Linked DNA regions of Callithrix jacchus. The protein of the gene in region 6 binds, or shares a complex with, the protein of the main gene of each other region. Links are inferred from orthologs where the notes say so. Each region holds a gene or a part of one and is shown on either strand. Other genes may lie near its edges.

Region 1 (3,500 bases), on a different chromosome or scaffold from region 6:
ACATACGTTCATTTTTTAGTTAATCGTTGCTCTTTCTGCACTTTTTCCTAAAACCAAGGCGTATAAGATTCAAGCTTTTCATCAGAACAAATAATGTAAATTCTTTCACTGTTAACTATAAAAAACTTATTTGGCCAGGCGCGGTGGCTCAAGCCTGTATTCCCAGCACTTTGGGAGGCCAAGGCGGGTGGATCATGAGGTCAAAAGATCGAGACCATCCTGGTCAACATGGTGAAACCCCGTCTCTACTAAAGATACAAAAAATTAGCTGGGCATGGTGGCACGTGCCTGTAATCCCAGCTCTTCAGGAGGCTGAGGCAGGAGAATGGCCTGAACCCAGGAGGCGGAGGTTGCGGTGAGCCGAGATCACGCCATTGCACTCCAGCCTGGATAAGAAGAGGAAAACCTCCGTCTCAAAAAAATAAATAAATAACTTATTTGTGAAACAGGATTTCAAGGCCAGGCACAGTGGCTCATGCCTATAATCCTAGCACTTTAGGGGGCTGAGGCCAGCAGATCACTTAAGGCCAAGAGTTCGAAAAGAGCCTGGCCAACATGGCGAAACCCCAGTCTCTACTAAAAATACAAAAATTAGCCAGGTGTGGTGGTGCGCTCCAGTAATACCAGCTACTCAGGTGACTGAGGCATGAGAATCACTTGAACTCAGAAGGCAGAGGTTGCACTGAGCCAAGATTGTGCCACTGCATGCCAGCCTGGGTGACAGAGCAAGACTCTGTCTCAAAAAAAAAAAAAAAAAAAAGAAATAGGATTTCAGTTGAGTTAAGAAAGTTAACTTGCCTACTAATATTGTATAGTTATAGAAGAGAAGAGTATGTGGCCACGGCATAGAAGCTTTATTTGCTAGTACCTAACATCAGAGTAGGGTTAGCATATTGTTGCTTTAGTACTGGGTTGTAAAGTTAACCAAATAAAGCTCACATTTAAGTAGTAAAATAAGTGAATGTTAGTTACTTGTGCTACCAGTTATTATATCTCACCCTTCATTGGATTGTCCTAATTTTCATACACACAAAAAGTCCTGCTTCCTGAATTTAAAGAAAAAAACACATTTTAGTGTATTAAATTGGATAAGTACAATATTGATCTTTATTAATATTTTAATAGGCTGTTAACAAGTTGGCTGAAATAATGAATCGAAAAGATTTTAAAATTGATAGAAAGAAAGCTAATACACAAGATTTGAGAAAGAAAGAAAAGGAAAATCGAAAGCTACAACTGGAACTCAACCAAGAAAGAGAGAAATTCAACCAGATGGTAGTGAAACATCAGAAGGAACTGAATGACATGCAAGCGGTAAGGTTTCTGTGTGTGTACAGACATGAGTGTAAAGTTTTATTTTCTTAAATTATTTCTGTATATACTTGTTATCTATTTATCTTGTTTAGATTGGGTTTCCCTATATCTAACAATGCATATTTTAGTATATACTCTTCACAATTTAGTCGTTATTACTCTAATATAAATCATGATCTTGAAAAACTAGAAAGATGCTCTGTTGCCTAATAGTTATTGTAGCTTGAGTAATTTTTACCCATTAGCAGCTGCTTATTTAGAGGCCCTATTCTGAAAGAGACAATCAAGGGTTCTGCCTGTTTGGTTTCAGACTGAAATTGGGATATGGCTGTTATAATATTAACTATAATTGGGGTAGAGGTTTTGAAGTATTGTAGCTTATTTATTTTCCCTAGTCAGGACCCACTTTTTTGAAATCTAAATAGCAAGCTTAGTTTTTTGATACTTCTTGGCTTGTTAATAGAGCAAAATTGAGATCCTGGTCTCTGGCAATTAGCACGAAGCTTTTTAGCTCCATCAATTACGGTTTTCTTAAATTTTCTATACCTTTAAAGCTACTTCATTTGGAGCCAGAAAAGCATTTTCAATTGTTTTAACTTTTTTGTTTTGATGGCTTATGTTTGAAAACAAAAACTCTTTTTAAGGCAAGGAGAAGAGGAATTTGTCTGAGCTATTTTATTACTGAGAAAGAACTTGACATTTCTGTAGTGTATCAAAATCTGTGGTAGCAAACATTCATGAAGTTTACTGTACATTTTTAGTATTAGTTTAAATTACATGCCATATTTCAATTAATGTTGGAAATTATTTTAGCTTGATTATATTATCTTGATACTTTTCAAAAATAGCAATTGGTAGAAGAATGTGCACATAGGAATGAGCTTCAGATGCAGTTGGCCAGCAAAGAGAGTGATATTGAGCAGTTGCGAGCTAAACTTTTGGACCTCTCAGATTCTACAAGTGTTGCTAGTTTTCCTAGTGCTGATGAAACTGATGGGAACCTCCCAGGTAAGAATAATTCCATATCATTCAAACATGTATAAATGTCATGGAAATTAATGTATATTTCTTTCATTTGGTTTTCTACCTCCTTGTCATTTTGTCCATGGATTCCTAAGAAGGAATTCTTATTTCTGATAGCCAAAGCCTGATGATGATTGTATACTTGGTGTATTTTGTGGAGTAGAAGCAGTTGTAAGTAATCTTAGGCTATTTAAATAGACCTAAGAAGCTCCACCTGAATAAAAACCATAAGAGGTTTATGAATCTATTTTGAGCACCCTAAGTCCACAGTGAGAGTCAAAGCTGCTGCTGCACATTGCACTATTTTTAAAAGTTGTGCGTTTTTGTGAGTAATAGCTCTTTAACATTTTATTTATTCTTGTGCTAAAACTAAAAACTGTACTTTATCATCAGAACCACAGCACCTATGTATAGAAGCCTATTTAGTGGAATAGTGATCAACTTTAATCAGACTTTAAGTTTTAGGTTTGGAGAAATAGATAAAAGGGGTTGGGCAGTGCAGTAAGAGGCCAGGGAGGTCAAATAAAGGCAGGAATGAGTGGCTAAGATTTCAGACTTTTTTCTGTGTCTTCTTTTTCCCAGTGGAGAATCAATTTAAATTAAACACAGCCTCATTCTTGGCTTAATCACCATGTAAACTATAGGACATATATGTACTTTATAGAGATGAGAAATATACATACTGTAAGTTCAATTTAGAAACGAAATGAATAGGCCAGGCGTGGTGGCTCACGTCTATAACCCCAGCACTTTGGGAGGCCAAGGTGGGTGGATTGCCTGAACTCAGGAGTTTGAGACCAGCCTGGGCAACACTGTGAAATCCCGTCTTAAAAAAAAAAATTAATAAAAAAAGGAAAGAAAGAAATGAAATGAATAGATTATAACCTAATAACATGTATTTACATATATATAGATTTGAAATACTGTACAGTCTTAGTTCAGGGTCTTGGAAGTTTTATTTATATGGTCATAAACTCGAAAGTAGATTTAATTAGTGTATTTTCTGAATAATACATAAATAGGAAGATATTTTGAAGCAGCATGTTTGATGTTATAGGGATTCTGTTTTAACAGATATTACTTGTTATTGTGAGTTTGATATAAGGAACTAGATGAGTCAGAAAATTTTATAGTATCTTTCTTGGTCAAGAAAGTGGGATTCA
Region 2 (3,500 bases), on a different chromosome or scaffold from region 6:
AGTAAATAGACATCATGAAACTTTCCAACCTATTGTTTTCCTACTCCACTCTTTTTTCTCTTTTTTCTTTTTTTGAGACAAGGCCTCACTCTGTCACCCAGGGTGGAGTGCAGTGGTGCAATCTCAGCTCACTGCAGCCTTGACCTCCTGGGCTCAAGCGATCCTCTCACCTCAGCCTCCTGCGTAGCTGGGACTATAGATGTGCCACCATGCCCAGCTAATTTTTGTATTTTTTCTAGAGACAGGGTCTTGCTATGTTGCCCAGCCTGGTCTCCAAGCTCAAGCAATCTGCCCACCTCAGTCTCTCAAAGTGTTGGGATTACAGGTGTGGGCCACCACACCTGACTTTCCTATCTTTTCCTTTGTTTATTTTTGAAATGTTCTAATGTTCTGTAACTCATTTGTGGATTTATTTCCTGTGAACACATCTAGCCATTTTTGAAAGTGTCCCTACTTTAACATACAACAGCATCTGGAAATACAGAACTCTAGTTCACAACGATCTACAACAGTAAATGTGAACTTCCGGCTAAACGTCAAAACGTAGTTTTGAACTTTGACCTCAGCATCCAAACTCTAGTTTTCAAATACATAGTACTCAATAGTACAGACCCATCTCACAGTGAGCACAGAAGCTCTAGGGCTAAGACCAGGGCCAGGCCCCTATTTTCCTGGCTGAATACCATATAATATGTGATGTATTTCCTTCACTCTCCCTTCAAAATGGATAAATGTATGAAAAGTAATTCTTGTTGTATGGTTAGCTTCCAAAATAACTGAGCTAGCCCCATGTACTCTTCTCTGCTTTTTTTTTTTAACATTGGTTTTGCCCTCTGTAATTTTTTTTTCTATTTGTATGTATTTCACAGTTGTACTAAGGAAGATTGTTATCTCCAGACTATTCCACACTCCAGGAAAAGACTAAGGAGTCTGGCTGACACTGGTTGGGAAGGCCAGGATTTAGGAAAGAGTAGGGCTACAGGCGTGTGTGTGTGTGTGTGTGTGTGTGCTCGTGTGTGTTTGTGTGTGTGTGCGCACGCCTGTTTTTGTTCAATTCCACCACTTCTGGAGATTAACAATCTAAACTTTAGAGAGCTGGTTCAGCAAACAGAGGATGAAAAAGGCTCATTAAATGTAAAGCATGGGCAGTGTGCCTTCCGTTGCCTTGCCCGTACCAAAGACACCATTCGAACTCAGTAGTCAGCTGTTCTGTCGCCCTTGGGATAAGACTCCACATGGCCGGAGGCAGTGGCTCACACCTATAATCCCAGCACTTTGGGAGGCCAAGGTGGGCAGATCATGAGGTCAGGAGGTCGAGGCCATCCTGACCAACATGGTGAAACCCTGTCTCTACTAAAAATAAAAAAATTGCTGGGTGTGGTGGCACGTGCCTGTAATCCCAGCTACTCGGGAGGCTGAGGTGTGAGAATCCCTTGAACCCAGTAGGCAGAGGTTACAATGAGCCAAGATCGTGCCACTGCCCTCTAGCCTGGTGATAATGCAAGACTCTGTCTTAATATTTCAAAAGTGAAATATTAAGCAATTACATCAAGATTCACTAAATGAGCACCCCAATGTCAAAATTATTATAGGAACATTACAGGGGAGTAAAATGTGTAAAAATTAGCTATATGAGCTTTTCAATGGCCACAACAACTCCGTGCTATGGTAAGTATAAATGTTGCACTACTCCTCTATTTTTCTTCCCTTGAGTTTTTAATGATAACTTCAGATTGAAGAAAAAAGTTCAATCAATTAATTTAAAATATTTGTTGGAAGAAACGCTATTCCAACCCAATAGATTCTAGACCTAATAACCCTGAAATAGAATAGAAGGCTATTGGGCCGGGTGCGGTGGCTCAAGCCTGTAATCACAGCACTTTGGGAGGCCGGGGCGGGTGGATCACGAGGTCAAGAGATCGAGACCATCCTGGTCAACATGGTGAAACCCCGTCTCTACTAAAAATACAAAAAATCAGCTGAGTATGGTGGTGCGTGCCTGTAATCCCAGCTACTCAGGAGGCTGAGGCAGGAGAATTGCCTGAACCCAGGAGGCGGAGATTGCGGTGAGCCGAGATCGCGCCATTGCACTCCAGCCTGGGTAAGAAGAGCGAAACTCCGTCTCAAAAAAAAAAAAAAAAAAAAAAATAGAAGGCTGTTATTTCCCCCAGAGGCTGTTATATTTGTCTCCCGAAGAGCTTGGTTTTTCTATATGCTAGAGAAATGTTTGGGTCTTGTCTCCTTTAAAAAAAAAAAAAAAAAGCAAATGTTATTTTTCCCCAAAGTCTTTTACCTTTACCACCAGCGACCGGCTGCTGGTTACTTGCTTCTGAAAGCGGCTCTCTGGCTCGCTTCGTATGAGTCATAGACCTCGGAGCTGCTATGGGCCTCTCAGCCATTTTTCTCTGAAGATTCTCTCGCCTGGCACGGGTTCGCTCCAGCAGTTTCTACATACATAAATACATCAGTGTTAAAACATGAGTTTATGCATAAGTAGCAAGAAGCAAATAAAAACAAACAAGCAAAAAACACCGTTTAATCAAATGTTTACAAAATTGCAACATCTTCTAAAATCACCAGTGGCCATAAAGGATGCCAGTTAAACATATTTCAAAAGTGAAATATTAATCAGTTACATCAGGATTCACTAAATGAGCACCCCAGTGTCATAATTATTATAGGAACATGACAGGGGGAATAAAATGTGTAAAGTTAGCTATATGAGATTTTTATTGGCCACAAATTCTTTCTGCTTTCATCAAAAGACACAATCTATTTCTTCACCCTTGAATCTGGGCTCATAAATCTGCTTTGACCAATAAAATATGGCAAAAGTGATATTGTGAGCCTTCCAGGCATCAAGAAACATGGGGTTTCTCTCTCTGCCACTAAGTGAACATGCCCAGGTTAAGTCCACTAGAGACACATGGCCCAGCTGATGGTCAGTATCAACCACCAGACATGTGAATAAGGCCATCTTAGACCATCCAGCTCCAGATAATCTGCCAGATCACTGAAGATTCCTCCCTGACCACTGGAGAGACAAACAGAAGAACAGCCTGGCTGAGCACAATACAAATTGCTGACTCAGTGAATCACGAGAAAAAGAATATTGTTTTAAGCCACTAGGGTAGGCAAAAATAATGGTCTCTCAAAGGTTTTTTTTGTCCTGATACCCTAAACCCATGAAGATGTTGCCTCATGGGGCAAAAGAGATTTTACTGATATGATTAAGAATCTTTAGACAGAGATAATCCTGGATTATCTGGTCAGGCCCAACATTATCACAAAGGTCCTTACAGTGGAAAACAGAGAGGCAGGAAGATCAGAGTTCTCAATAAGAAGACCACCAATCATGGACTGCTTCCGGCCAGTTTACAGAGGCTACTCACTTGAGTGCCTTCATGTCCCCACCTCACCTTTTGACATACAGAGCCCAACTGTAATGACATGTTAAGTCTCCACCCCAAAGTGAACACGGGATGCATGAAATTGCATGT
Region 3 (3,500 bases), on a different chromosome or scaffold from region 6:
AGGATGGGGTAAGAGTAAGCAGGACTGGGAGGAATGGGATTAGGCGGGATGAGTAGGACACCCCTTTGTGCTGCAACAGTGACTTGAGCAGAGCTTGGTTCCAAAAGATGTTAGATGTTAGTACCTGCGGTACAGAGCTGGGACCACTGGACAAAGGCATTTCAGTGAGAAGTGCCGTGTGTGTAAGAAAGGGCTCTGGAGCAAGAGTCAGGCAACCAAATTCTCTGGGCTCACTTCCTTCATCTGTGAGATAGGAGTGATACCTACCCTACCTCTTGGAGGCATCAAAAGGGATGACGGGTATGAAAAAGTTTTATAAACTCCTGGCCAGGCTCAGCAGCTCACGCCTGCAAACCCAGCACTTTGGGAGGCCAAGGCAGGCAAATCACTTGAGGTCTTGAGTTCAAGACCAGCCTAGCCAACATGGTGAAACCCCATCTCTACTAAAACAACAAAATTAACCAGGCGTGGTGGCAGGTGCCTGTAATCCCAGCTACTCGGGAGTCTGAGGCAGGAGAATCACTTGAACCCAGGAGGTGGAGGTAGCAGTGAGCCAAGATCTCGCCATTGCACTCCAGCCTGGGCGACAGAGCAAGACTCTGTCTCAAGAAAAAAAAAACCATTTTGTCAGTCCTAAGCACCATACACACGTCAGCCATCACTATTATTAGAGTGTGAAAGGAATGGTGGTGGCTGTGAAAGGTGACATTAGGGGTCCTGGAATTTCCTCTGTCCCTTGTGTAAGTGGGTTCCAAGTGGTCCCGATGACTCATCTCTGCCTCATGCTGCATTCTTCATCCTCATTGAGGGTCAGGGCTTTGGGTCCCACTCTGCCACCCTGGCCCAGGCTTTAGTCACACCTGCCGTCCCTAGTACAGGCCCTTCTACCTTCCTTTCCTCACACAGATAAACGGGCCTTCTTCATCATCTGCACCTCCAAGCTGGGCCCACCCCAGATCTATGAGCTGGTTGCATTGACGTCATCAGACAAGAACACGTGAGACTTGATTGAGGGGTCATCCGTAACTGCGGTCCCCTTGGGACCAGGGTGGTGTGTATGAGGACGGTGGACAGCAAGGCCAGGGCTGGGCCCCAGAGCAGTCCCTGGACAGGGAGTTGGGAAGGGAAGTGGGAGGTGGTAGGACAGAATAAGAGAAACTGGGAGGGGTCATAACCCCTGACCTGGTCACTAGGCCCGCCTCTGGGAGAATGAGCTCCTGGCAGCCTTCCAGCCGCAGCCGCTGCTGCTGCTTCTCTGCTTCCTGCCCTACTCCCTTCACCATCAGGCGAATTAGATTCATGCATCCTTCTCAGGCGTTTGCCTCCCACCCAGCCCATGTTATCTGACAGCAGCCACCAGAGGTGGCGTGGTGCAGTGGAAGGGGGCGGTTGGAGTCAACCCGTTTCCCACCTCCAGGGTTTTCATTTGTAAAATGTGGCTAATGCTCCCTGTTAGAGAATTACTTTAGAGAGAAAACAGAAGGCTTTGCACAGAATGTAGCAGAGGGTTGGTGTCCAGGATTTGGTAGCTACAAGTAATATAACCCCAAGGGAGCAGCCAGGGAGAACTGTACGGGGAGGTGGGCACCTGCCAGGCAGAGGGTCCTTAGGGCCTGAAGAAGGACCTGGAAGCCCTGAAGCAGTGGGCTCAGCATGGGGGTGGTGTGTGCCGTGGTCTTGCTCTCACTACAGTCCTCTCTGTTCCTGCTGAGCAACAGATGGATGGAGCTCTTAGAAGAGGCCGTGCGGCATGCCACCAGGCACCCCGGAGCTGCCCCAATGCCTGTCCATCCTCCACCCCCAGGGCCCCAGGAGCCAGCCCACCAGGGATCTACACCCAGCAGGTGCAGCGCTTAGCCCTCCAGACCCCACACTCTCTACACTCCAAACCGCCTGTTTCCTGCTGCTTCTAAGCCCTTCACCCCAGGGGTGGACAGCCACAACAGGGAAATGCTAGCAGGGAACAGACAGCTCCAAGCGCTGGCAGATGGAGGAACATGCCCCCTGTCCCTGCTTCCTATCCCTGTCTGTTCCCCCCACAGCCTGCCACCCGGCTATAATACAGCCTGAGCCTGAAGTAGGGTGACTGGGGTGTAGAGCAGGGGACCAGAGAAGCTCAGCCAGCAGCCCCCCTCCTCACCGGGTTGCCATGCAAACCAGCCAGATGAGGAGGCCCCACACCGTCCTCAGATCCTACTCCATCACCCATCCTAACACAGGAGTCCCGGATGGAATCTCATGCATGACATCTCACCCTGGGTTGGTTTCCTCCTTCAGGGTAGAACTGGATGACTCAGACGTGTTCCATGGTGAACCTGAACCTGAGGAGCTGCCTGGAGGTAAGGGCCCTGAACTGTGTGGTGGGAGCCAGTGCAGGTTGGGTGTGAGTATGGGGGCGATGGGAGAGGCCATCAGGGCCCAGGGTGTGAGGTTTTGAAGAGTAGAGAAGAAACGGGGCGGGAGAAAGAGTCTGGAGGAGGAAGGAGAGCAGACTGAATAGACAGGCAAGTGTGAGCTCACTCACCTGACCAGAGATTCCCACCCAGCCTCTGGGTGATGGCGTCAGCCATGGGGGAAGAGGAGCAGCCTGGTGGGGTCCCCTGCATCTTCCAGGGATTACTGCTGGGGAGAGAGATGCATGCTGCAGCTACAAGGATGGGAAACATGGGGGGCCAGGGCACTCAAAGCGCTTCAGATGCACTTACGTGATGGGATTGGTAGAGGGGACGACATTCTCATTGAGAGCTTGTGTGTAAAGTAACCTGGGGTCTTGGGTTTGAGGAGAAGTCTCAGGCTTCCTGGCTGGGTCCCTGTTGTTTCCTTCTGCTTAGAATGCTTTTCCTCCCAACGCCACACCTTCATCGCGTCTTTGTTCCAGTGTCCCCTTCGCCCAATCTGTTTAACGCCAGCACTGACCAGCCCCCATGCCCTACTCTGTTGCTTTCTTCTTTCCCGTGGAAGTTACCGCCTTCTAACAATCTGCATAACTGACTGAAGTGTCTTATTTTTGTATGTCCCTCCACTAGAATGTATGCTCCGCATGGGCAGGGATCTTTTAGTTTTGCTTACTGTTGTATGCCTAGAGCCTGGGACAGTGCCGGCCAAAGTGCCCAGTGACCAACCGTAGAATGAATCGGTGTTCCCAGCCCCTTGGCTCCAAAGCTGCTCATGGGCTCTCCCATACGTGCCCTCTCCCTTTCCCCGCCTGGCAGTCTTCTCTCATTCAAAGCAGGTACTGGGCCCCAGCAGAGGGTCCAAGGGAAGCACCCGGTCCTACTCGAGGACCCTGAGCAGGAGGGCAGTGCGGAGGAGGAGGAGCTGGGTGTCCTGCCTTGCCCTTCCACATCCCTGGATGGAGAGAACCGGGGAGTCAGGACAAGGAACCCCATCCACCTGGCCTTCCCAGGCCCTCTGTTCATGGAAGGCCTCGCTGATTCCGCTCTGGAAGATGGTGAGTGCCTCAAGGCCCTGGCGTCAGCCTCTGGTCCCCAGTCACACAG
Region 4 (3,500 bases), on a different chromosome or scaffold from region 6:
CTTTTGCCAACTATTCAGTAGCAGGTCACAATACCTTCAATCCTGCTCTAATCAGAGGCATTTCTGCCATAACTTCAGGAGGAAATGAGGGAGAGGGGGCAGCAGGAGCCCTCTGTGTAGGCATTCTGGGGAAGGAAAGAATTCCTGGCTTATACTCCCTAAAGACAGGGCTACACTCAGATCTGGATGACGGGCAGGGATTCTAACCCCTGCCCCCAACATACACATCCCTGCTGCATTCCCTCTTTCTCACTGTATAGTCAGACTAGAAATTTGAGATGAAGGGTCCTAATCCCATCTTCTGCTTGAAACATCAGAGGTTTCAGGCTCCACCCATAGGCAATAGAAAGGAAGGGGCAAGGGGACTGTGAAGTCCTGAATGCCCAGCTCTGCCCAGGAAGATGGGCAGAGCCAGCTGCAAGGCTGGCAGCTTTCCACCTAGTTCCTCTATCACCCCCCACCCCACTCCCTCCACACATACAACATTCCTGCTCCTTCTCCAATCAGTTCCCCTAACCCTTAGCAGCTGTTCAGGGAGCAAGAGGGGGGCCCAGTGGATGACAGCTGCAAGGGGAGCCAGCCCAGCCTCCCCTCCCCCACATTCCCAGATAGTCCGGCTTATGCTATATTCCAACAGCCACCACCCCTCAGCGTGAGGACAGGGAGCAAGGGATCAAGCATCTGGCCCTGGCATTTGGGCCCGGCTGGGGATGAGAGAGACGAATGATCCTCATGGGTCCAGGCAGATAAAAACAGATGCAAAGATCAGGGTCAGCGGGCACTGAGTCTGGGTGACTCTTAGGGTCCAAACAACTTACTTGGGCAGATGAGAGCTTCCTTGGCTGTGATGCTCTTGTTACAGGCATAGCACATGGTCATGCCTGAGACTGAAATGGTGGTGAAGAGGTGCCCGTTGGTATAGCGGGCATCCTTGGCTTCCTTCATCTTCTCCTTTTCCCGGGCCTGCGGAAAGGGTGAGAGGGAGAGGAAGTGAGGCTGGAAAATGCCAGGGTGCCTGGAGTCCAGAGGCAAGGAAGAAATGCCAGCCTGAGGAAAGACACCAGTTCCTAAAGCAGAGCCTGCAACTGGGTATCAGAGGCAGCTGTCCAGGAGTGACCAGGCCAGGCTCTGGGGCAGCCAGTCCAGACGGGTTCTGGGTCCCTGACCTACCTGGCCCCTGCGGCTGGGCTGCCTCCTATTGCCACTCATCTCCCTGGCTCGAGGTCTCTGCGTCCTCACTCCACCTTCCCAGTCCTAGCTCTGCTCGCCCCCGAGCTGCTGTACTCTCTTCTCTGTGCTAGGGGGAAGATGCGCAGAGAGGAGGGGAGAGCAGGCGAAGCAGAGGGTGCCAGCTCACCAGCGCTTTCCAATCTATGGGAGTTAGCTCCTCTTATAACCATGACAACCGATGTTGGAGCCGCTGTCTCCGTGGCAGTGGGGGGGGGAGCAGGAGATCCCCTTATTAGATTGGCTGAAGGGGGCAGAATGCCTCCCCCTTGCCACCCCCAAGCCAGAGGTCAGGATCCCAAACCTCTAGATCTTTTCACCAACCCTCAGCCAAGGAATACAGGCCTGTCTGGGAGGCAGCATGTCCCCTCATAACCTCAAGGCAAGGGCAGCTGCCTTTGGGTCATCCCTCCATTCTGAGATCTTTAAGTAAGGAATCTCAGCCAGCCATCTCGGTTGCTTTTGGCAGAAAATCTCTCCTGCAATCTGACTTTTATCCCTCTCATACTATCCTCCAGAGTTAAAATCTGGGAGAGTCCTCTTTTGCTCCTCACTCAACTGGGCTCTCCCATCCTAGGAAGTCCTTTCTGAGACCTACCCTCCATCCTTCAGTGCTGGTCTCCACAGATGGCGCACACCTTCCTCGGAGCCTCAGAGCCGGCCTTTCCCGACTCTGCTGTCTCCCATTTCCCCCAGTGTCCCTGCCTCTGCAAGTCGAGTCATTCTCCCTGACCTCCAGTCTGTCCCTCCTCAAGTCCCTACGCTTCCCAAAAAGTCTGAGAAGGCGAGAAGCGGGGGATATCACTCTCCCCACTATTCTAGGACCTTCCTCAGTTGTGACCCTGGATCTCTAAGATTTTCCCTCCGCTCTTGGAGGAGGAGTAGAAATTGACAAGACCACTCCCTCCAAGGTTTGCCAGGTTCTCAGAAATCAAAGAGCAGGATCCAGATGGCTGAGGGTGGAAGTCCCAAGACAGAGGCTCTGGGTTGGGGACAAAGAATTACAGTTCAGTGGGGAGCACTCAGCCCAGACTCTAGAAGACTAGTACTGACTCAGCCCAGGCCATGCTAGCAGCTGAGAGGTGGAAGAGGTAGAGTCTCACAGGCCTGGTGGTCAGGGCAGAAAAGGGTAAAAAGGGGAAGTGTGGAGGGGCTGAGTCAACAGTGCAGGGACGGAGGGCATGGGGCTGCAGTGCCTCGGGTCTCAGAGCTTCCTGGTGGCCCAAGATCCTTCTCTTTCCTGCCTTTCCTCCCAAGCTCCAGGTTTGCCTGATGACATGCAGAGTCCAGAGGTCTTTGGGTCAATCTCTTCTTCATTCTCCCCTCATGCATCCTCCCCACCCCCAATCATCCATTGTTCTCCTCCTCTTCCTCTTTCTCCTCCTCCTCCTCCTCCTCCTCCTCCCTTCTCTCAGGGTCTCCTTCCTGGGCTCCTCCCCCTCTGCCTTCCCTTTCTCAGCCTTGCTTCTCCGCCACTGTTCTCTCCTGCCCACGGCCTCTCCTCCTCTCCTCCTCACGCAGGCCAGCTGCTCCTCTACCTAAGCTTATTCAGGAAGCTGAGCTGCCTCTGGTCTCAAACTCAGAAACTGTTCTGGCCTCCTTTTTTCTATTCCAGTACCTACCTACTTGGACCACTAGAAAATGCTCCCTTTGGTCTAACCTCCACCTATCTTGTGCCAAATCATAGCTCTTTAGAAGTTCAAATTCAGGCTGGGCGCAGTTGCTCACATCTGTAATCCCAGCACTTTGGGAGGCCAAGGCAGGCAGATCACCTGAGGTGAGGAGTTCGAAATCAGCCTGGTCAACATGGTGAAATCTTGTCTTTACTAAAAATACAAAAAATTAGCTGGGCGTGTTGATGGGCACCTGTAATCCCAGCTACTTGGGAGGCTGAGGCAGGAGAATCGCTTGAACCCGGGAGGTTGGGGGTTGTGGTGAGCCGAGATTGGGCCACTGCAGAGTGAGACTCCATCTCAAAAAAAAAAGAAGTTCAAATTCACCTCTGAATAATAACCTCCCAGGATCTCAAAGACCAAGTCCAAATATCTCTTCCCACTGCCATACACTCTCCCTTTTCTCCTCTTCTCCTGCCCTTCCAGCCTTCTCTATGGCACAAATCCAAAGTTTGAGAATTTATCACATTTGAATTAAAAGCAAGAGGCCAGCGAGGCCGCTCACGCCTGTAATCTCAGCACTTTGGGGGGCTGAGGTGGGAGGATCGCTTGAAGCCAGGAGTTTGAGGACAGCCTGAGCAACACAGCCAGACTCCTGTC
Region 5 (3,500 bases), on a different chromosome or scaffold from region 6:
GGACTCGTTTTTAGTTTTCAGGATTATGTAATCATAAAAATAAACAGCAAATAAAAGATTATAAAATTGGTTTTGGAAACATTTATTAATTTGTGTGCTTGTTATAATTGACGATTTATTTTTGAGACAGAGTCTTGCTTTGTCGCCTAGGCTGGTGTGCTGTGGCACAGTCTCAGCTCACTGCAACTTCTACCTCAGTAGCCAGGATTACAGGCATGCTCCACAACTCCTGGCTAATTTTTTTTTGGAATTTCAATAGAGATGGGGTTTCACCATGTTACCCAGGCTGATCTTGAACTCTTGGCCTCAAGTGATCCACCCACTTCCGCCTCCCAAAGTGCTGAGATTACAGGCATGAGCCAGCACGCCCAGCCTATAAGTGACTTTAAATAGAAATTATACCATATCTCTACTTGTTAGTACTTATAATCCTGGTTTTAGTTTGCTTTATTATCAGTTTCTGGTGGGGTGGGGAGGTTGTGTGCTTTGGACATTCTATACCCATTTTTACCTTGGCTTTGAAATCAAATTTCATTATTGTGACAGTCAAAAATTTTAAAAATCTGTCTTGCAGACAGGGAGAACATTTTTCTATTTGCAGAAACAGCAGTCAAAACCACTCCTAGGAATGAATTGTGTTTATTTACTTATTTCTAAGTTCTAAACCTCTTTCTATATTTATTGCATAGACTCCTTCTAAGAACTCCGCACTCTAGTCTGCCAGAGCACTGGCAGATTAGCAGGCTTAACCAAAAGAGTATGAAGTCATTTGTTTTTGTGTTTTGTATCAAATTTCACAGTGTTACAGAAAAAGCCAAATAGCCCATCACATAAGGAGTATTTGCAGTTCTAGCTTTAATGAAGTTATTGTGCTGTGTTTTTTTAGACATACTTCTCCTTCACACTCTTAAATCTTTACGAATTATTTCAGCTGATTGTTAGTGATTCATTCCTTGGTTTGCCTTCTTCCTATAGCAGAAGCTGCTGAACAACTGGGAAAGAATGTTAAGTTAGTGGAGCGTTTGGTGGAATGGTGTGAAGCCAAAGATCATGCTGGTGTGATGGGGGAGTCAAACAGACTGCTGTCTGCCCTTATACGACACAGTAAATCAAAAGTAAGTTCCAGAGGAAACTCTGCACTAGAAAACTTTAGAGTGTCTTTTTTTTTAGAAACCCAGCATGGTAGGTCGTAACAATAATGATAAATATTATTAGGGATAGTATTTACCTGAAAGTTCGTGAAAATTCAGTGAGATCATATATATAATGTGCTCAGCTGGTACATGGGACATAGGAAACACTAAATGGAGGTTGCTGTCACTGCTGCTATTGTTATTACTTTTACCACCACCATTATCAGCATCATTGTCAAACATTGCTTTGTGCCAGGCATTGACCATGCAGGCTACTAATATTTAGAAATTAAATGATATCTATAGTATATGATGCCCAGAACTCAGAAAGTTAGAAAAAAATACATTCTTATGGCTGTGCAGCTGTCTGGCACATGGTAGATAACCAATGAATGAACAAATGAACTATTTTAAAGATCACAATAGTGAGTACCCAGCAGCAGTTCAGCAGTTGATTTAGTATCTAGATTATATACTTAAAAAATTTTTTTAATACTGGTTTTTTTTTTTTTTTTTTGAGACAGTCTTGCTCTGTCTCAAAAGGAGACTCTTGCTCTGTCTCACTCTCCTCACCCAGGCTGGAGTGCAATAACGCAATCTCAGGTCACTGCAACCTCCGCCTTCTGGGTTCAAGCAATTCTCCTGCCTCAGCCTCCTGAGTAGCTGGTATTACAGGCACGTGCCATCGACACTTGGCTAATTTTTTTATTTTTAGTAGTGACGGGGTTTCACGATGTTGGCCAGGCTGGCCACAAACTCCTGACGTCATGATCTGCCCACCTCAGGATTACATGCATGAGCCACCACACCCAGCCTTTAATACTGTTTTCTAAGGTGACCCTTTCAATCTTTTCTCTTTTACACTTCAGTAGCGATTATACATGAAGAGAAAGTTTAGAACTTAAATCCACCAGCTGTTTTCATTTATTTTTAGAACAGATAAGAAGATGCCAAGAGAAAAAGCGTAAAAGTAAAGCTGTTCTTGACTTGCATAAATCTCTTTCATATAAATAATTGGCTTCGCCATAATAGCTGTCCCAGCTGGTTAGCCTCAGGAGTGTTCTTCCCCATCAGATACTAAATCTTGAGAACTTTCCCTGGGGAAAAGCAGCTGTTAACTAGGACCTTCCTATTGCCTGTCTCACCCAGACCACCCTAAAAGTTCATACATTTTCATTGATACAGGACCAAGTAGTATGTTGGCAAGATGGATGTTATCAAGAGAGGATAACAAAATGGCCTCCTTGGTACCCCTTTTACCCCTTCTCCATCATAACTGCTCTCTCAGGCCCATTTTTTTGTTTAACAGTTAATATTTGAGTTATTGCAGTATAAATACTACAAGATAGTGTTTCTGTAAAGGAATTAACTGTCTATTGAGGGGACTGACAGAAACAGCTACAGTACAGCATTAAAGCTACAAATGCTATTTGGTTGTAGCAGAGGAAAGAAAGACTAACACACTGGGTGCTCTGGGATGGTGTCACAGAAGGAGTGCTATTTTAGAGGTTAACTAGAAATCTCTCAGGAGAAGAAGGAAAAGAGAATGGAGGAAAGGGCCTTTTCAGGGAAAGACAACAGGATGTACAAAAGCACAGAGATGTAAAACAACATAATTTTAGAAGGAAACTGCAAATAAATCAGTATTGCTGGAACATAGAGTTTGGAGAGAGACAGTGGCCAGAGAGGTTGAAAACTGTGAATTGAGTGAATTGTATACCAAGTTAAGATATGTGAATTTGATTCTTTACAGAATTTGGGAGCACTTAAAGTGTTTTAAGCAGCAAGGTGCCATTATTTGGTTTTCATTTTGAAAGATGTATCTAGGGTTTAATGGGGGTAGAAAAAACAGTTATTGCAAAAATAGACATGAGAGATGATAAAGGACTGAATTAAGGTTTTGAGTTGAGCAATTTGAAATTGCTGATATTCAGCCATTTTTGACACAAATTTCTATGGTTTATTCAACTAGTAGCATGAGGATGGAAAAGAAGAGACAGACTTGAGAAAGCCATAGGTGGTAGAATTGATAGATTCAACAGTAGATTAAAGGAGGAGGTGGTTTTAGAGATAATTCCAAGTTTTGGGCTTACCACCAGACTGGCCTATCATGCCATTCATCAAAATAAAACATAATAGGAAGAGGTGCAGCTAACACTCCCTAAACTCTCTCATGCTCTTTGAGTCATTATCCTTAATCTTTTTGCTCTACTCCAAGAAAATCTCCACCAGTGGTTTTCAGGGATGTACAATCATTTGGATTTCCCTGGGCCACACTGGAAAAAGAATTGTCTTGGGCCATACCACACATAAAATACACTAACACTAACAATAGCCGATGGGCTTAAAAAAAAAAAAAATCTCAAA
Region 6 (3,500 bases):
CACCGCACTTGGCTAATTTTTTTTTGTATTTTTAGTAGATACAGGATTTCACTACATTGCCCAGGCTAGTCTTGAACTCCTGGACTCTGAAGCAATCTGCCTGTCTCACCCTCCCAGAGTGCTAGAATTACAGGCGTGAGCCACTCTCTGCCTGGCCCTTTTCTTTCTTCCCTCCCCTCTCAGGCTTCCGTCCTTCCTTTCTCAGTGTCTGACTGTGTTGCCAGGGCTGGTCTCTAACTCCTGGGCCTGAGTAATCCTCCTGCTTCAGCCTCCCAAAGTGTTGAGATTACAGATAAAAACCACTGTGCCTGGCCTCAACTGAATTCATTTTTTAATGTTAATATTGTATCCTGCAACCTGACTGAACTTGTTTATTCTAAAAGGTTTTTTTTTTCCCTTTTTTCTTTTTTTTTCGAGATGGAATTTTGCTCTTGTTGTTTAGGCTGGGCTGTAATGGTGTGATCTCAGCTCAGCGTAACCGCTGCCTCCTGGGATCAAGCAGTTCTCCTGCTTCAGCCTCCCAAATAGCTGGGATTACAGGCATTTGCCAACACCCTTGGCTAATTTTGTATTTTTGGTAGAGACTGGGTTTCTCCATGTTGGTCAGGGTGGTCTCAAACTCCCAATCTCAGGGGATCCACCTGCCTCAGCCTCCCAAAGTGCTGGGATTACAGGTGTGAACCACTGCACCCAGCCTATTCTAAAAGTATTTTAATGATTCTTTAGGATTTCCCACATTGTAAGATCATCTCATATATGAATTGAGATAGTTTTACTTCTTCCTTTCCAATTTGGGTGTCTTTTATTTCATTTACTTATTGCCCTGACTAGGACTTTCAGTATCTTGATGGGTAGAAGTGACAAGAACAGGCCAGATGCGGTGGCTCACGCCTGTAATCCCAGCAGTTTGGAAGGCCTAGGTGGGCAGATCACGTGGTCAGGAGTTTTGAGACCAGCCTGAGCAATATGGTGAGAAACCCTGTCTCTACTATAAATACAAAAATTAGCCGGTTGTGGTGGCGTGTACCTGTAGTCCCAGCTACTTGAGAGGCTGAGGCACAACCCAGGATGCCGAGGTTGTAGTGAGCCAAGATTGCACCAGTGCATTCCAGCCTGGGCGACAAAGTGAGACTCGGTCTTAAAAAAAAGGAGTGGCAAGAACAGACATCCTTGTCTTGTTCCTGATATTAGGGAGCTGACCTTCTTTTCAGTGTTTTACCATTAAGTATAAAATGTTATGAGGTTTTGTTGTATAACGTTTTGGTGCCAGATGGATCAGTATACTAGAATTGTGAATTTGAGAATGCTGTTAGAGGCTTATGCCCCATGGTTAAAAAAGCACGTGTCATAGCCTGAGGCTACCTATGGCTTCTTGTGCATTCCAGATAATCCTGTGGTTTGTGTTTCAGCAATGGCTGCCATTCGGAAGAAACTGGTGATTGTTGGTGATGGAGCCTGTGGAAAAACATGCTTGCTCATAGTCTTCAGCAAGGACCAGTTCCCAGAGGTTTATGTGCCCACAGTGTTTGAGAACTATGTGGCAGATATCGAGGTGGATGGAAAACAGGTGAGTATACTTTTCATAACAACTGGTGCCATTTTCTGTGTTAGATTATTCACAGAGCATGTATAGAACTAAGAGCTTTTTGCTATTTCAGTATACAGTGTAACAAAAATGTTAGAAAGAATAATCCATTCTCATACTGCCATCTTAGTCCAAGTTTGTTTGGGTTTTTTTGAGACAGAGTCTTGCACTGTTGTCCAGGCTGGTATGCAATGGCATGATCTTGGCTCTTCGCAACCTCCGCCTCCCAGGTTCAAGTGATTATCCTGCCTCAGTCTCCTGAGTAACTAAGATTATAGGCACCCACCACCACCCCTGGCTAATTCTTTGTCTTTTCAGTAGAGATGGGGTTTCACTATGTTGGCCCGGCTGGTTTTCAACTCTTGACCTCGTGATCTGCCCATCTCAGCCTCCCAAAGTGCTGGGATTACAGGTGTGAGCCACTGTGTCCAGAAAAGTTTATTATTTTTGTTTTTTTGAGACTAAGTTTCATTCTGTCACCCAGTGCCATGACATGATCTCAACTCGCTACAACCTCTGCCTCCTGAGTTCAAGTGATTTTCTTGCCTCAGCCTCCCAAGTAGCTGGGATTACAGGCATGTGCCACCATGCTCAGCTAATTTTTTTGTATTAAATATAGATGGGGTTTCACCATGCTGGTCCCGGACTCCTGACCTGAGGTGATCCACCTGCCTCGGGCTCCCAAAGTGCTGGGATTACAGTAGTAAGCCACTGCACCCAGCCTCCTCCCGGGTTTAAGGAATTCTCCCTCTTCAGCCTCCCCAGTAGCTGGGATTACGGGAATGCACCACCACGGCTGGCTAATTTTTGTATTTTTAGTAGAGATGGGGTTTTACGACGTTGGCCAAGGTTGGTCATGAACTCCTGACCTCCGGTGATCCGCCCACCTCAGCCTCCCAAAATGCTGGGATTTTAGGCATGAGCCACTGTGCCAGGACCTCTTTTTTTGAGATGGAGTTTTGCTCTTGTTGCCCAGGCTGGAGTACAATGGCATGATCTTGGCTCACCATAACCTTCATCTTCGGGGTTCAGGCAATTCTCCTGCCTCAGCCTCTCGAGTAGCTGGTTTTAGAGGTTTGCGCCACCACACCCAGCTAATTTTGTATTTTAGTAGAGATGGAACTTCTCCATGTTGGTCAGGCTGGTCTCAAACTCTTGATCTCAGGTGATTCACCCAGTTCGGCCTCCCAAAGTGCTGGGATTACAGACATGAACCATAACATCAGCCTGTTTTGTTTTGTTTTTTTTTATTTGAGATGGGGTCTTATTCTGTTACCCAGGCTGGAGTGCGGTAGCACTATCTTGGCTAACTGCAACTTCCACCTCCTGGGTTTAAGTGAATCTCCTGACTCAAGCCTTGCTGGGACTACAGGTGTGTGCCACCACGCCTGGCTATTTTTTGTTGTTGTTGTTCCACCAAATCATCTTCAAATGCTCAGCTATTTTTTTTCTTTTTTTTTTTTTTTTAAGACGGGGTTTCACCATGTTGTTCAGGCTGGTCTTGAACTCCCGACCTCAGGTGGTTGGCCCACCTTGGCCTCCAAAGTACTTGGATTACAGGCGTGAGCCACCATGCCTGGCCTATTTTTTTGTATTTTTAGTAGATACAGGGTTTCACTGTGTTAGCCAGGATGGTCTCTATCTCCTGACTTCTAGATCCACCTGCTTCGGCCTCCCAAAGTGTTGGGATTACAGGCGTGAGCCATGGAACCCAGCTGCTTACATTTAATTTTAAAACATTTTTTTAACTTTAACATAAAGCAGGCTGCCACAATTGTTTTATTTTGTCATTGATGGTGAGAACAGTGCTTCCCATTTCTGTCCTAAAAGCCCTCTGCTAAGACTGGAACAAAGCTCTTTTGGAATTGGAGGGTTGTTTTTTTTTTTTTTATTTTAGGTTTTTTTTGTGTGTTTG
Region 7 (3,500 bases), on a different chromosome or scaffold from region 6:
ACCTGTAATCCCAGCTACTCGGGATGCTGAGGCAGGAGAATCGCTTGAACCTGGGAGGTGGAGGTTGCAGTGAGCTGAGATTGCATCACTGCACTCCAGCCTGGGTGACAGAGTGAGACTCCGTCTCAGAAAAAGAAAAAAGAAAAAAAGAATTCCATCATTGGATGTGTCCAGTCCCTCACAGCTTCCAAGTAGCATGCCTGTACCCTTAACCAGCTACCCTGCATCTCCCCGGCCTCACCCAGAGAAACGTGCAGTTCATATCTGCTGCTGGCCCTGTCTCCGTCGTCACCCTCAGAGTGCCACGGTGTCTGCCCCGCAAGCGTCTGCAGGCAGAGCCCCACCCCAGGCCCCCTTCGCTGACCTCCCCCCCTCCACCCTGGCCCGCAGGGGAGCTGCCCCTGTCGCTGGCTGCCTGCACCAACCAGCCGCACATTGTCAACTACCTGACGGAGAACCCGCACAAGAAGGCGGACATGCGGCGGCAGGACTCGCGTGGCAGCACGGTGCTGCATGCGCTGGTGGCCATCGCCGACAACACGCGGGAGAACACCAAGTTCGTCACCAAGATGTACGACCTGCTGCTGCTCAAGTGTGCCCGCCTCTTCCCCGACAGCAACCTGGAGGCCGTGCTCAACAATGACGGCCTCTCGCCCCTCATGATGGCTGCCAAGACGGGCAAGATTGGGGTGAGTGTGGGCGGGGGCACAGCTGATCCACCCACTCATACCCCTCCACACACACACAAGGCTCTGCTGCTGGGATTCATCATTAATATGTGAATGCACCTCCCAACATGTCAACACCAGTGTGTGAATGTACCAGCTCAGGAGCCTGCTGTGGCTCCCTGGTGTAGAGCCAAGCTGCTTAGCTTCATCCTTGAGACTTTCACTTCATGTCACCCTATGGGATGTTCACCACCCCACTCCCACCAGCCAGGATGAGCCACTGATAGGAAACTGAGTTGCAGGGTCCTAGCGCAGCAGTGGTTCCAGCTTCAAGGCTGCTGAGTGGCCCTGTGCCAGTTCCTTTCCCTCTTCGGGCCGCACAGTATAGGGCCTGAAGGGTTTCTTAGCTTCAGGACGGTTATTTTGCCGGATGATGACCTGAATCCCGGCTTCTACACACCAGATGCCAAGAGCACCTCCCTTTACACTTGTGACCACCAAAAATATCTCCAGGCCATTGCTGAATTGTCCTCGGGGCAGCGTCGCCGTGATTGGGAACCAAGTCTTGAGTTCCCTAGAGGGAGGAGACCGGTCCAAGCCCTCCCACTTCCTAGTGTGTGACCTCAATGACCAGCCTCTGCCTCCCTCTCTTCTATTCCTTTTGCATCTCCCTTTTCTGTGCCTCAGTTTCCTTGTCTATAAAATGGGGATATAAGAGTGCCCTCTGGTGTAGTGTCATGGCAGTTAAATGAGGTGATCCACATAAGGCTCTTAGGGAGGAGACGGGGAGAGGCAGTAAATGCTCAGTGAATGGGGGGTGGGGACTATTACCTGGCGGGCATGGTGGCACATGTCTGTAATGCCAGCTAGTTGGGAGGCTGAGGTGGGAGGATCATTTAAGTCCAGCCTGGGCAACATAGTAAGATCCCAAATAAAAATAAACAAACAAAAAATAAAAATAAACATTCAGCAAAAATTACTAAAATTGTGATTATACCAGGGTCGTGAGGCAGTATAAAGGCTCGGGTTTAAATCCTGACTTCAGCTGGGCTCAGTGGCTCATGTCTGTAATCCTAGTACTTTGCGAGGCTGACATGGAAGGATTGCTTGAGCCCAGGAGTTTGAGACCAGCCTGGGCAATATAGTGAGACCTCATCTTTACAAAAAATAGAAATAAATTAGCCAGGCACAGCAGCATCTGCCTTTGGTTCCAGCTACTTGGGAGGCTGAGGTTGGAGGATCACTTGAGCCAAGGAGGTTAAGGCTGTGGTGAGCTGTGATAGTGCCACTGCACTCCAGCCTGGCCAACAGAGCCAGATCCTGTTTCAGAAAAACCCCTAAAATCCTGGCTGGGCATGGTGGCTCATGCCTGTAATCCCAACATTTTGGGAGGCTGAGGTGGGTGGATCACCAGAGGTCAGGTGTTCGAGACCAGCCTGGCCAACCTACCGAAACCCCATCTCTACTAAAAATGCAAAAATATTAGCTGGGTGTGGTGGCGAGCGCCTGTAATCCCAGCTACTCGGGAGGCTGAGGCAGGAGAATTGCTTGAACCTGGGAGGCGGAGGTTGCAGTGAGCCGAGATTGCGCCACCACACTCCACCCTCAGTGACAGAGCAAGACTCCATCTCAAAACAAACACAAACCCCAAATCCTAACATTGCCCCATGAAACCGCATGACCTTGGTTAACTCCTACCTCCTCTCTGTGCCTCAGCCTCCCTGTGTGTAAGCCAGGGAAGGAGGAGCGATAACAGGAAGGACCGCAGATGATTGGCAGTGTTATAATTCACATATTATTAAGTTGGGCTCATTGCTATTTTAAAGGCATGAGGAAGATATTCATTACAATTAAGATGGTGAAAGCTCGCCTAGGTCCCGTCTGGCTCCAGCTGACTAGTTATGTGGCTTCTGGAGCACCCTTCATTTTTCCCAGCCTCCACGTCCTATCTGTAAACCAAGACTATAAGAGCAAGAATTAAGATGAGGAAGGGAGGGGTCCTCCGGCAGCCGGGGCTCAGCTGTTTTCTGGGGAGGTGTCACGTGCTGAACTGGGCTCAGCCCCGGGGGCCTCTCCAGTGTGAGACCCTGACCCTCCTGGTCCCCTGTGCAGATCTTTCAGCACATCATCCGGCGGGAGGTGACGGATGAGGACACACGGCACTTGTCGCGCAAGTTCAAGGACTGGGCCTACGGGCCAGTGTATTCCTCACTTTATGACCTCTCCTCTCTGGACACTTGTGGGGAAGAGGCCTCTGTGCTGGAGATCCTGGTGTACAACAGCAAGATTGAGGTGGGCATCAGGACGGGGCATGGGGTGCAGGGAAGGAGGGGCCAAGCTGGGATGGGACTTGGGCGGGGCTGGGCTGGGGGAGAGAGCCCAGGCCTCTGGGCCCCAACATGGTGGATATGTTGGCTGAGTGCAAGAGGAGGTGCCAATGAAGTGCCCAGAACAGTGTCTGGCATGTGAGGAAATGAGCAAGGCTTGTGGGAAGGTGGGCTTTTGGGGCAGATAGGACTAGCTTGGGATCCTGGCTCTGTAACTTACATGCTGTGTGTCTCAACTTCCTTGTTTGTGACCTGGGGATAAGGACTGTGCATATACCGTGGGGTTGTTGGGAGGACCTGAGGTTAAGTTTAGAATGGCCTGGCACAGAGTAAACATCGTCAGCTATTAGCATTCGTGGTTGCTATATGAACTTTTGAAAGCTCTTTTTTTTTGGCCAGGCATGGTGGATTATGCCTGTAATCCCAGCATTTTGGAGGGCCAAGGTAGGTGGATTGCTTGAAGCCAGGAGTGTGAGACCAGCCTGGGCAATGTGGTGAAACCCTG

Evidence for each region.
Region 1: the proteins of RHOA (region 6) and ROCK1 are in contact, whole or in part, in a crystal structure (PDB 1S1C), measured with the Homo sapiens proteins. The link is inferred for Callithrix jacchus from reciprocal best matches to the Homo sapiens genes RHOA and ROCK1. Residues at the interface, in NP_001300870.1 of Homo sapiens: Val38, Phe39, Asp65, Tyr66, Arg68, Leu69, Leu72, Pro75; in NP_005397.1 of Homo sapiens: Lys999, Val1003, Asn1004, Leu1006, Ala1007, Met1010, Asn1011, Arg1012.
Region 2: the proteins of RHOA (region 6) and ANLN are in contact, whole or in part, in a crystal structure (PDB 4XOI), measured with the Homo sapiens proteins. The link is inferred for Callithrix jacchus from reciprocal best matches to the Homo sapiens genes RHOA and ANLN. Residues at the interface, in NP_001300870.1 of Homo sapiens: Tyr34, Val35, Pro36, Thr37, Val38, Phe39, Glu40, Asn41, Trp58, Asp65, Tyr66, Arg68, Leu69, Pro71, Leu72, Pro75, Asp76; in NP_061155.2 of Homo sapiens: Met729, Thr732, Val733, Tyr735, Gln736, Ala737, Gln739, Ala740, Cys743, Cys744, Glu748, His749, Gly750, Ser753, Glu755, Glu758, Ala759, Leu762.
Region 3: the proteins of RHOA (region 6) and ARHGEF11 are in contact, whole or in part, in a crystal structure (PDB 1XCG), measured with the Homo sapiens proteins. The link is inferred for Callithrix jacchus from reciprocal best matches to the Homo sapiens genes RHOA and ARHGEF11. Residues at the interface, in NP_001300870.1 of Homo sapiens: Arg5, Thr19, Val33, Tyr34, Pro36, Thr37, Val38, Glu40, Asn41, Val43, Asp45, Glu54, Ala56, Trp58, Asp59, Ala61, Gly62, Gln63, Tyr66, Asp67, Arg68, Leu69, Arg70, Leu72, Ser73, Pro75, Asp76, Pro96, Glu97, Pro101; in NP_055599.1 of Homo sapiens: Asn715, Gln717, His718, Glu737, Val738, Glu741, Thr745, Ser748, Ser837, Lys844, Arg867, Arg868, Leu869, Gln870, Arg872, Asp873, Ile876, Met879, Gln880, Arg881, Thr883, Lys884, Leu887, Leu888, Ser891, Arg914, Leu917, Lys918, Val920, Asn921.
Region 4: the proteins of RHOA (region 6) and ARHGEF2 are in contact, whole or in part, in a crystal structure (PDB 7G9I), measured with the Homo sapiens proteins. The link is inferred for Callithrix jacchus from reciprocal best matches to the Homo sapiens genes RHOA and ARHGEF2. Residues at the interface, in NP_001300870.1 of Homo sapiens: Arg5, Lys7, Lys27, Gln29, Val33, Tyr34, Val35, Pro36, Thr37, Val38, Phe39, Glu40, Asn41, Tyr42, Val43, Asp45, Glu54, Trp58, Asp59, Ala61, Gly62, Gln63, Tyr66, Asp67, Arg68, Leu69, Leu72, Ser73, Pro75, Asp76; in NP_001155855.1 of Homo sapiens: Asp215, Ser216, Ser218, Leu219, Asp238, Val239, Glu242, Thr246, His249, Cys342, His345, Ser346, Leu349, Lys353, Lys376, Arg377, Gln381, Glu382, Leu385, Leu386, Thr388, Gln389, Ile391, Thr392, Lys393, Leu396, Leu397, Arg400, Lys423, Leu426.
Region 5: the proteins of RHOA (region 6) and RAP1GDS1 are in contact, whole or in part, in a crystal structure (PDB 5ZHX), measured with the Homo sapiens proteins. The link is inferred for Callithrix jacchus from reciprocal best matches to the Homo sapiens genes RHOA and RAP1GDS1. Residues at the interface, in NP_001300870.1 of Homo sapiens: Ala3, Ile4, Arg5, Lys6, Asp13, Lys18, Lys51, Asp65, Tyr66, Asp67, Arg68, Leu69, Arg70, Pro71, Leu72, Ser73, Tyr74, Lys98, Trp99, Pro101, Glu102, His105, Phe106, Leu179, Cys190, Leu191; in NP_001093897.1 of Homo sapiens: Arg111, Tyr118, His121, Ser171, Glu200, Met201, Val204, Asn208, Glu211, Leu212, Glu213, Ala249, Glu253, Lys290, Thr291, Asp294, Leu295, Val297, Leu298, Leu301, Asp303, Leu334, Leu338, Ala341, Asn342, Ala344, Arg345, Asn346, Asp347, Cys350.
Region 7: the proteins of RHOA (region 6) and TRPV4 are in contact, whole or in part, in a cryo-EM structure (PDB 9IQX), measured with the Homo sapiens proteins. The link is inferred for Callithrix jacchus from reciprocal best matches to the Homo sapiens genes RHOA and TRPV4. Residues at the interface, in NP_001300870.1 of Homo sapiens: Met1, Ala2, Ala3, Arg5, Tyr34, Pro36, Val38, Phe39, Glu40, Asn41, Tyr42, Val43, Glu54, Trp58, Glu64, Asp65, Arg68, Leu69, Leu72, Pro75, Asp76; in NP_067638.3 of Homo sapiens: Lys177, Arg179, Thr181, Glu183, Glu184, Arg186, Pro188, Arg224, Glu225, Asn228, Ser229, Pro230, Arg232, Arg237, Asp263, His265, Ala266, Gln267, Arg269, Asp313, Arg315, Arg316.

What each region holds. Positions count from the first base shown.
Region 1 is NC_133514.1:63,928,613-63,932,112, reverse strand, and holds part of ROCK1 (rho-associated protein kinase 1), read left to right. Parts: intron 1-1,125; coding exon 1,126-1,314; intron 1,315-2,162; coding exon 2,163-2,322; intron 2,323-3,500. UniProt on the Homo sapiens protein: Protein kinase which is a key regulator of the actin cytoskeleton and cell polarity.
Region 2 is NC_133512.1:5,117,874-5,121,373, reverse strand, and holds part of ANLN (anillin), read right to left. Parts: intron 2,448-3,500; coding exon 2,294-2,447; intron 1-2,293. UniProt on the Homo sapiens protein: Required for cytokinesis. Essential for the structural integrity of the cleavage furrow and for completion of cleavage furrow ingression. Plays a role in bleb assembly during metaphase and anaphase of mitosis.
Region 3 is NC_133519.1:17,337,781-17,341,280, reverse strand, and holds part of ARHGEF11 (rho guanine nucleotide exchange factor 11), read left to right. Parts: intron 1-906; coding exon 907-997; intron 998-1,718; coding exon 1,719-1,844; intron 1,845-2,277; coding exon 2,278-2,339; intron 2,340-3,229; coding exon 3,230-3,451; intron 3,452-3,500. UniProt on the Homo sapiens protein: May play a role in the regulation of RhoA GTPase by guanine nucleotide-binding alpha-12 (GNA12) and alpha-13 (GNA13). Acts as guanine nucleotide exchange factor (GEF) for RhoA GTPase and may act as GTPase-activating protein (GAP) for GNA12 and GNA13.
Region 4 is NC_133519.1:16,342,360-16,345,859, forward strand, and holds part of ARHGEF2 (rho guanine nucleotide exchange factor 2), read right to left. Parts: exon of another isoform or gene 1,826-3,500; intron 1,263-1,825; exon of another isoform or gene 1,210-1,262; coding exon of another isoform or gene 1,171-1,209; intron 964-1,170; coding exon 819-963; intron 1-818. UniProt on the Homo sapiens protein: Activates Rho-GTPases by promoting the exchange of GDP for GTP.
Region 5 is NC_133504.1:99,090,162-99,093,661, reverse strand, and holds part of RAP1GDS1 (rap1 GTPase-GDP dissociation stimulator 1), read left to right. Parts: intron 1-975; coding exon 976-1,115; intron 1,116-3,500. UniProt on the Homo sapiens protein: Acts as a GEF (guanine nucleotide exchange factor) for the Rho family of small GTP-binding proteins (G proteins) that stimulates the dissociation of GDP to enable subsequent binding of GTP.
Region 6 is NC_133516.1:31,978,357-31,981,856, reverse strand, and holds part of RHOA (transforming protein RhoA), read left to right. Parts: intron 1-1,409; 5' UTR 1,410-1,411; coding exon 1,412-1,567; intron 1,568-3,500. UniProt on the Homo sapiens protein: Small GTPase which cycles between an active GTP-bound and an inactive GDP-bound state.
Region 7 is NC_133510.1:112,687,495-112,690,994, reverse strand, and holds part of TRPV4 (transient receptor potential cation channel subfamily V member 4), read left to right. Parts: intron 1-390; coding exon 391-689; intron 690-2,780; coding exon 2,781-2,960; intron 2,961-3,394; coding exon 3,395-3,439; intron 3,440-3,500. UniProt on the Homo sapiens protein: Non-selective calcium permeant cation channel involved in osmotic sensitivity and mechanosensitivity. Activation by exposure to hypotonicity within the physiological range exhibits an outward rectification.